Linked DNA regions of Daphnia pulex. The protein of the gene in region 1 purifies or fractionates together with the protein of each later gene. This does not show direct contact. Links are inferred from orthologs where the notes say so. Each region holds a gene or a part of one and is shown on either strand. Other genes may lie near its edges.

Region 1 (5,029 bases):
CTGGAGCTATGACTCCAAGAATGACACCGGGTGGAGCTACTCCAATCGGACAAAAAGCTATGGCCATGGCTACCCCAACTCCAGGACACCTTGTTACCATGACTCCTGAACAACTACAAGTAATCAGTGCATTATCCGTTTTGATGTTCAATATGTAACCCACAATGAAATTTATCGAAATAGGCATACCGATGGGAAAGAGAAATCGACGAAAGAAACCGCCCAATTGGAGATGATGAACTAGACGGGATGTTTCCAGAAGGCTACAAGGTCCTGCCTCCTCCAGCTGGATACATTCCTCTACGTACCCCGGCGCGCAAATTAACTGCAACTCCCACTCCATTAGCTGGGGCCAATTCGGGATTCTACATGCAACAAGAAGATAAAACTGCCTCAAAATACATGGACACACAACCCAAAGGCGGTAACTTGCCCTTTTTGAAGCCAGAAGATGCCCAATATTTTGACAAGCTATTGGTAATTATACTTAACTATTTCTTTTAAGTAAAATTAAAAAGTTTTTACTCTATTATTTTGCAGATTGATGTTGATGAAGATTCATTGAGCCCAGAAGAGCTTAAAGAACGAAAAATCATGACTCTTTTACTTAAAATCAAGAACGGTACCCCACCTATGCGTAAATCTGCATTAAGACAAATCACTGATAAGGTAAACTGATATATATTATTTTAAAGTAATTGTATCTTCAAACTGCGTTTATGTTTTTCAATAGGCTAGAGAATTCGGAGCTGGTCCACTTTTCAATCAGATCCTTCCTTTATTGATGTCTCCTACCCTTGAAGACCAAGAGCGACATTTGCTCGTTAAAGTTATCGATCGCATTCTCTACAAATTGGATGATCTAGTGCGTCCATACGTCCACAAAATCCTTGTCGTTATTGAACCGCTGCTAATCGACGAAGACTATTATGCTCGTGTTGAAGGTCGAGAAATCATCTCTAATTTAGCCAAAGCAGCTGGTTTAGCAACTATGATTTCTACCATGAGACCTGATATCGATAACATTGATGAATATGTTCGTAACACTACTGCAAGAGCTTTTGCTGTGGTAGCTTCTGCACTGGGAATTCCTTCCCTTCTTCCCTTTCTAAAGGTATATAGTTTGTTTCAGTTTTAAGATGGGCTTGTTCTTATCTATTATTTTTATTTTAGGCCGTTTGCAAGAGTAAAAAGTCATGGCAAGCTCGCCATACTGGCATCAAAATCGTCCAACAAATTGCTATTCTTATGGGATGTGCTATTTTACCTCACTTGCGAAATCTGGTTGAGATCATTGAACATGGATTGGTAGATGAGCAACAGAAAGTGCGCACCATCACTGCCTTGTCCATTGCTGCGCTGGCAGAAGCCGCGACTCCGTACGGTATTGAGAGCTTTGACTCTGTTTTAAAACCGTTGTGGAAGGGTATAAGAACTCATCGTGGTAAGGGATTGGCTGCTTTCCTTAAGGTATGTTAATTGAAAGTAAAATATTATCCTGCATACTGTAATATTATTTGTTTAAAAAAAATAGGCTATTGGCTATTTGATTCCTCTCATGGATGCCGAATACGCCAATTATTACACTCGCGAAGTGATGTTAATTTTAATTCGCGAGTTTCAGTCACCTGACGAAGAAATGAAAAAGATTGTACTTAAAGTGGTGAAACAGTGTTGCGCAACTGACGGTGTGGAACCTCAGTATATTAAAACAGAAATTTTGCCACATTTCTTCAAAAGTTTCTGGAATCATAGAATGGCATTAGATAGACGTAACTATCGCCAGCTAGTTGACACAACAGTTGAAATCGCTAATCGTGTTGGTGCAGCGGAAATTATTGGCCGAGTGGTTGACGATTTAAAGGTTTTATTCATTTTCATTATTTATAATTCAGTGACAGTCAAATAACATGTTGAATATTTTTCCTAACAGGACGAAAATGAACAATACCGGAAAATGGTTATGGAAACGGTCGAAAAGATCATGGGTAATCTTGGTGCCGCTGATATCGACGCTCGCTTGGAAGAGCAGCTCATCGACGGTATTCTCTACGCATTTCAGGAACAAACGACTGAAGATGTTGTGATGCTAAATGGATTCGGTACAATCGTGAACTCACTTTCCAAACGAGTTAAACCTTATTTGCCACAAATTTGTGGTACTATTTTATGGCGTTTGAACAACAAATCAGCAAAAGTAATGTTATACAACTTTTATTTGTAAACGTTCGTTTTAATATAATGATTTTTATTCCATAGGTTCGGCAACAAGCTGCTGATTTGATTAGCCGTATTGCAGCAGTAATGAAAACTTGTCAGGAAGAAAAGCTCATGGGGCATCTGGGAGTTGTTCTCTATGAATATCTTGGCGAAGAGTACCCTGAAGTTCTTGGGTCTATTTTAGCTGCTCTTAAAGCTATTGTTAACGTAATTGGCATGCACAAGATGACACCGCCAATCAAAGATTTACTTCCCCGATTAACACCTATTTTGAAGGTTCGCTTTTTTAACATATCAGTAATTTATTTTTCTTATTGTGGTTTTATTATCATTTTAGAATCGGCATGAAAAAGTACAGGAAAATTGCATCGATTTGGTTGGGCGTATTGCCGATCGTGGGCCAGAGTACGTTTCAGCTCGAGAGTGGATGCGCATTTGTTTTGAGCTTTTAGAACTCTTGAAAGCACACAAGAAAGCCATTCGACGAGCTACAGTCAACACTTTTGGTTATATCGCCAAAGCAATTGGTGAGACCGAAATTGTCATGGTTATTATGTACAATATAATTATTTATTTTTCAACAACAAATTTCAGGCCCACACGATGTATTGGCTACACTGCTTAATAATTTGAAGGTACAGGAGCGCCAAAATCGTGTTTGTACAACCGTTGCCATTGCAATTGTGGCTGAAACTTGTTCGCCCTTCACCGTCCTCCCTGGTCTTATGAACGAATATAGAGTCCCGGAACTTAATGTTCAAAATGGTGTTTTGAAGTCGATGTCATTCTTGTTCGAGTACATTGGCGAGATGGGGAAGGATTACATTTATTCAGTTACATCGCTCTTAGAAGACGCTTTGATGGATCGGTAAGTTTCTAGTTATTTTGAATTTATGATTAATTAGTTAATGAAGCACATCTGTTTATTTTAGTGACCTGGTCCATCGTCAAACTGCTTGTGCAGCCATCAAGCACATGGCTTTGGGTGTTTTCGGCTTTGGTTGTGAAGATGCCCTCACACACCTGTTGAACTACGTTTGGCCCAATATTTTTGAAACATCCCCTCATTTGGTTCAAGCTTTTATGGATGCTGTGGAGGGTATGAGAGTAGCCCTGGGCCCTATTAAAGTCTTACAATACGCACTGCAGGTAACTTAATTATTTGATTGAATTAGAATTTCAGTTTTAAACCATTTTCTTTTCTATATAGGGTCTGTTTCATCCGGCCCGGAAAGTTCGTGACGTGTATTGGAAGATTTACAACTCACTATACATCGGCGGTCAAGATTCACTGGTGTGTGGGTACCCTCGAGTGTCCAACGAAGGGAAAAACACTTTTAATCGTTATGAACTCGATTATGTATTGTAATTCACTTTCTGTACTACATTTTTACACAAGTTTCATGTACTGATTTCATTAAAAATAAACTCACTTGAGCCGTCGCAATTCGTGTAATGTCATCAAATTTAGATACAATATTATTTAACATTTCAATTTAGCTAGTGATTATTGATTAAGTCATTAGGCGTGTGTAGATAACATCTGTGGCCTTTGACCATTAATTGACGCTGGTCCGTAACGTCTCCTAGCCTCTGTCAAAAATGCAGTAACCATTTGCCTAACAACCTGATCAAAAAAAACATGTGACAGTTGAGAGTGAAGTACAGACCGAAATTCAAAGGAAATGGAAAAATCCAATGTGCAACTTTTAGGATTTCCCTTTAGTCCAGGACTGAATTTCCAAATAGTAAGAAGATGGTTGAATAGCTTCCCTTCTGAACACACAGACTTCACCATGTTTGGTGGGGTAAGCATGACACTGCTTGTATAGCTTTCTACTAACAAAGGAGGAAAGCCAATTGCTAAATCAGCTCTAAGATGACCAGTAGTTCGTGAGGTAACTACAGAGCTTTTGCAATATGGAACAAAATTTTTGTAATTCTCCACCTCGGCCACAACATTGTACATTTGTTCCATTGAATACCTAGAAAGTTCATTTTTAATTTCTATTGCAAAATTAATTTGTTTTATATTACCCCAACAACCTTCTTTCAGAATAGTCTTTTCTTTTGTTTCCAATTCCTAGTCCAGGCAACTGAAAACCACGACTAGGAATAGCTAGGTCAATTGCTCCATAACTTGAGTTACTTGACGAAACTACTCTTGGACAAGCAGAATGGCTTCCAGTATATTGTAATGCACTACATTGAATTACAGTTAACTTCCTGCATAAAAGAGAGGTTACACAATGTAATCCAAACTGTATGAAGAGATTAAAGATTATTTACCTAGATAAGGTAATGAAATTTCTATGCGCATGAAACATCTTGCACCAGCTACGACGAGCGGGTCTTGCAATGGCAATGAAAGGCAGCGTGAAACTTGACATTTCTAGTATTAGAAATGATTGAAATCAATCCGAATTTTTTACTCCATCATACCGAATTGATTGAATAACATAAAAACATATGAATGGTTGCAGACGACTTCGCAAGAGTTATCTTAGTGAAAAGTGATTTCAGGCATTGCCGGTTTTCTCTTTTTTCTTGGCGTTAAAAGCGCCCCCCCCCCCCCCATCCTGAACCATTTATTTGAATTTTTGAGCGTTTTTAATGGTATTTATTTGTGGTATCAGAGATGAAGTGAGCTTTTAGGATTTGACTGCCGAATATTTTTAGGCAACGAGTTTTTAAAAGTGGAAGAGGTTATCAAAAGCGTATCCGGACTCTTTAAATAAAAAACAAATATAAAAAAAGGAAGGAGAATGAGGTTATAGCTAATGTCTGCTGCAGGCAATTTTTTTATCTA
Region 2 (4,919 bases), about 1.4 Mb from region 1:
CACAAAACGTTAGTTTAAAAAGAACGACAAAATAAAACAAAACCCAACAAAATGTGTCGTGACAAAATTGTGAGCCTGGAATCAAGGGTGTGGGAGTTTTATGATAGTCCAGATGTGTGAAAAGATCAATAAAAAGTGGTGGCATTCTTACCTTGGCAACCGATGATGCACTGTTGATGTTACTGCTAACCGAATGTGCAGCCAAAAAGGCGATGAAAATCGCCATATGTATTCTGGGATTCATTTTTGAGAGAATTTCCTGAGCGTTTGAGAGTCTGCCTTACGTGTGTGTGAGAGGGTGGAGAGAGAGATTTTTTCAGTATTATTTATTTTAAGAGCCGGATATCCGTTTCTAAAGTTTTCTTCCAAGATTTTTGTGTTATTTCAATACAAAAGTGGAGAACGTGGTCGAATAAATTAGGATAGTTGCAGCCTTTTGTCCGTTTTTCTAATTTTCTAAACACAGACGGTGATGCTCTCAGGTCAGGCTGGGCATTTTCTTTCTTTCTTTCACACTTCTTCTCTCTCACAGGCGCGCACTCAACCACACAGTTCACTGGTGAAGCCAAAACGATGGCCGAGTTTTACTCGTCGATTCGGGGACGGAATGTTAAATATCAACAGAACAAAAAGAGTTGCCGGGAATTGGCGTGATTTCGAGACACTTCTCGATGTAACCAAAGGCCGAAATGGATTAAAAGATCCCAACTCACGCCCAGATCATCAAACACACCAGCCGAGAGCCGCCATTAAACTGAAGGGACTGGATTTTTCTTTGTGTCCCTCCGCCGCCATTGGGTACCAAAAACTCTGCCATCTGGCGGCAGTTTTCAGCTCCTCCCCACTTTCTCCTCCAACAACATAGACGTGGAAATTATACGGACGAATGTAAACCACACACACGGGAAAGAAAAGGAAAAACAAAAATCAATCTCATCATTTCCTCATCATGTTGGGAAAAAATGAATGACTCAATTTAGGTCATGGATTCAGCGCTCAAAATATCTTCATCTCGAGAGACTAGTTTTGTTCTTTCCGACGCACCAAATTTCGTTGGAATGGAAAAGAAATCCCAGACATAGCGACTATCACATATACTGGTGAAGTCGTTTTCTTGCGAGTGTTAAAAAACTAGAAGGTCCTCTGTTCTATAGTCACACGGACACACAAAACTTAAGAAAATATCGAGGGGAGAGATTTAATGTTTGTTGTTTCTCCCTCCTTCTTCTAACACTCCTTTTCTTTTTTTACGATCGTGGGTTCGCCTGTTTTCCGGCCCCAATAATACCCATTGTTTTCCAAGACTGCGCGGGTGTTCATGAAATTCCTCGAGTTACAACTTCTTTTTCCCAAAAAAAGAAAGAGAAAAAGGGTTCGGAAATTCTTGAGCGATATACCACTGTGACAGCTTTTCCCCATCTCAATTTTTATTCTTTTATTATACCAAAGTCTTTCCAAGTTTCCAACAAGATTTGGAAAAGGCGACCACTATAAAATATAGATCTAGCAAGAAAAGGCTTCTGCTCCGTCAGTAGTAGTTGTCAAAACTTTTTCACTTTTTTTTTCTACAACTTGAAAATTTTCTTAAAAGTCTAGAAGCCGGAGCAATGGCGCTTGTGTCAGTAAACAATCCCAGCAATAATGAATTGGTGTCGGCCACCTCGGGTCAAGTGGCCCTGCAACAGGTTTGATTTATTTGTGTTTTATTTATAAACTTTTAAATGAGCCGAATGCATCACAAAAGAGAATTGCATCCAACCACATGCTGACCAGCTTGTGTGTTTTGTTGTTGTAGATGCTATGATGAATTCAAATGTGATATTGACTTTTTCAATAAACAGGGACCAGCAAGAACGTCTAGCCTCATGGCTCCTATAATGCTCCTGGCAGGACATCCTGGAGATATCTTTAGCCTGAAGTTCCATCCTGACGGCCAGTTTTTGGTTTCCACCGGGTTCGACAGACAAATATGTAAGCATCATATATACATTTGAGCATCTCTACTGTTTGGATAATCAACCTCTTGTTCAACAGTTTTGTGGAATGTTTATGGAGAGTGTGAAAACTTTGCTGTGTTGTCTGGTCACACCGGAGCAGTAATGGATCTTCAGCTGTCTACCGATGGTGATACCATTTACACTGCTAGTACAGACAAAACCATTTGTTTGTGGGACACCAGAACAGGAGCTAAAATCAAGAAACTGAAAGGTATACCATTGTCACTGTCCCATTATTTAGCAATTGAACCCAACAACAATTTGTTTCAACAGGCCACTCCTCCTTTGTCAATGCTATTCATCCTGCACGAAGAGGACCTCCTCTTCTCTGCAGCGCCTCAGATGACTGCAACATCAAAGTCTGGGATCCAAGAAAAAGAACCGAGACAGTATCATTAGATAATTCTTACCAAGCGACTTCCGTCACCTTCAACGATACCGCCGAACAAGTCATTTCCGCAGGCATCGACAACGATGTTAAGGTGAGTTCGCAAAATTCAATTGTTGTAATAGAGAGAGAGAGAGAGAGAAGAAAAACTATGGGACCAATTTCCAAGAATTTGAATTAAGCCACCGATTCGGCGAACTTCATATTCCGTGTGAGTGGGAGAAAGTCACAAACTTGAGTATTTTTCTTACAGAATTGATTAAAGTTCTCAGTATTTTTACTTGATGGCTTCAAGAGAATAGTTTGGCAAAAAAGGAAGGACCTGCAGTCATATTCTGTCTTTGTTGTAAAAACTAAAGTTTCGACATTGTTGATTGTTTTCTACTTAATATTGAACCATATTCGTGCAAGTTCTGTCTTACCCTATCATCGAGTTCATTTTCCTTGAAGAGTGCAAGGGATTTCAACTTTGGTATTCTGATTATCGCGTGTCTCACCTTGATAAGGTCACCAAGTCCTTCCTTACTTCCAGGGCCCCTTCTCTTTGATATATGAATGGGTTCACTAATGTAAGCTCGTAGGCGAAGTTTTTAAAATTAATTCAAGTAATTTCAGCAGTAGGGTCTCGTCAAATGTCCTAATTCCATCCTAATTACTGAAGATGCGCATTTTTGTGTTTTGTCAGTTTGAGGCAAATGTGAAACGCTGGAAGCGGATTCTGATACTTCTTTGCTTGTCAGATGGTTGCACATTATCGATCAAAACTTTTCCCCGTAATACTTATGACAATTTTGCGACATCTTTAGGAAGAATTTACTCTGAAAAATAGATAATTTTCACTTTTTATCGATTATCTTTTCGTTCGAACTAAACCCATGTTAAGTTTTCTCCTTTTTTTGGAAGATATTCATTTTAAAACCTGAAAAGTAGTTTTGCATTTGCGATATTTCAACTGGTCCTGGCCTTGAGCTATTCACGTGAATATGGAGAGATAGGTAAATCATACACTTTCCTTTTTAGGTCTGGGACTTGAGAAAAAATGCTCTCCTCTACTCCTTGAAGGGCCATTCCGACACTGTGACCGGCTTGACTCTCAGTCCTGATGGATCTTACGTGTTGTCAAACTCGATGGACAACTCTTTACGTGTCTGGGATGTACGACCTTTCGCTCCTCAAGAACGTTGTATCAAAATGATGGTTGGCCATGCTCACAACTTTGAAAAGGTATATACAATGCCGGCGAATTTCTCAATCCATTCTAATACCTTGTGTAATGTTATAGAATTTACTTCGCTGCTCATGGTCACCTGACGGAACCAAAGTTTCAGCGGGATCTGCCGACCGATTCGTTTACATTTGGGACACTACATCTCGCCGCATCATTTACAAATTACCTGGTCACAACGGAAGTGTCAATGACGTTGTATTTCATCCTAAGGAACCTATTGGTAATTTACGCAGCAAATCAACATCAAGGACATCAATTAATTTCAGATTTTTTATTTTGAATGAAACATAGTTGCATCCGGTGCCAGTGACAAGCTGATTTACCTAGGCGAAATTGACGCTTAATTAGGAAAGGTTATAATTTTTTTCAGTTGAAACGATGGCAAGGATCGAGGACGAATAAACAAATAATTCTTTTACGCATATTTACAAAATTGCATTTAAATTAATCGACATTTAAAGGCCAAAAAAAACTTAATTGGATTGTTTGCTCGTTCTCGAGTCCATTTAGAGATCATCACGTTAAGAAAATGCAATTATGAATGGAAAAACTAGGAAGAAAAGGTTAGCTAGGTACGAATAATGTTAACGGCACGTGAGAAAAATCAATGGATGAAGTGCCATCCTCTGATCAAGTGATGACTTGCGAGAAGGTGTTTCAAAAGTGTCTGAGTGCTATTGTTCTGTCACGTCTTCGCAGTGACAAAGATAGCGGAAGTGTCCTCCTTAGCGCTTTAGAGAATTCAGTACTCCTGAGAATGTAGAGCAAAGGGCTAATGACTGCGTGCAACAGATGCAGTTCACGTACGTATGGAATGAGTGCCGTGAATGTTGAATCGCTGCATTGGCGTGGATTCATTTGACAGATAACGATGGCCAGGAAAACAAAAGTTAATGGCAAAGCGAAGAGAATTAGCGGAACTATTCCAGACACGAGAGTGACGCTCGCTTCCAATTCTAAACGAGAAATAGTTTTATCTGGCAAATGCACAAAGTGCTCATCCGGTTTGAGTACAGCGTTTGTTGTCGGTAGGAGCGTTTTAAAGCGTAAATAATGACGAGTTCTAACATACACGACGACTTGCGCAACAGTTATGATGCCAACCAGGACGAAATGAGAAAACGTCACCCACTTCACCACAGACACTTCAACGGAACATACGGGAAACTGAATTTTGCCTAACCAATAGGGACTAGTTTGCATGAGCAACACCACAATCCAAGACGTGATGATAAACATGACCACTCCGACGACGGTGATTCGTCTTTGATGCCAAATAGGATAACTTATGGCGATCCAGCGGTCG

The links.
Region 2: the proteins of splicing factor 3B subunit 1-like (region 1) and U5 small nuclear ribonucleoprotein 40 kDa protein-like purify together in Homo sapiens (co-immunoprecipitation; 3 studies listed by BioGRID and IntAct, with this or other methods). This does not show direct contact. The link is inferred for Daphnia pulex from reciprocal best matches to the Homo sapiens genes SF3B1 and SNRNP40.

What each region holds. Positions count from the first base shown.
Region 1 is NC_060027.1:4,647,335-4,652,363, reverse strand, and holds the end of splicing factor 3B subunit 1-like, read left to right. Parts: coding exon 1-119; intron 120-183; coding exon 184-477; intron 478-540; coding exon 541-669; intron 670-733; coding exon 734-1,114; intron 1,115-1,173; coding exon 1,174-1,470; intron 1,471-1,534; coding exon 1,535-1,864; intron 1,865-1,933; coding exon 1,934-2,197; intron 2,198-2,259; coding exon 2,260-2,496; intron 2,497-2,557; coding exon 2,558-2,747; intron 2,748-2,814; coding exon 2,815-3,088; intron 3,089-3,152; coding exon 3,153-3,369; intron 3,370-3,430; coding exon 3,431-3,589; 3' UTR 3,590-3,663; downstream 3,664-5,029. Other genes in the region: coenzyme Q-binding protein COQ10 homolog B, mitochondrial-like, read right to left, coding at 3,743-4,205, 4,258-4,446, 4,510-4,610. UniProt on the Homo sapiens protein: Component of the 17S U2 SnRNP complex of the spliceosome, a large ribonucleoprotein complex that removes introns from transcribed pre-mRNAs.
Region 2 is NC_060027.1:3,203,613-3,208,531, reverse strand, and holds U5 small nuclear ribonucleoprotein 40 kDa protein-like, read left to right. Parts: upstream 1-1,264; 5' UTR 1,265-1,607; coding exon 1,608-1,685; intron 1,686-1,841; coding exon 1,842-1,971; intron 1,972-2,034; coding exon 2,035-2,208; intron 2,209-2,270; coding exon 2,271-2,479; intron 2,480-3,405; coding exon 3,406-3,609; intron 3,610-3,667; coding exon 3,668-3,833; intron 3,834-3,904; coding exon 3,905-3,957; 3' UTR 3,958-4,037; downstream 4,038-4,919. Other genes in the region: syndecan-like, read right to left, coding at 152-244. UniProt on the Homo sapiens protein: Required for pre-mRNA splicing as component of the activated spliceosome. Component of the U5 small nuclear ribonucleoprotein (snRNP) complex and the U4/U6-U5 tri-snRNP complex, building blocks of the spliceosome.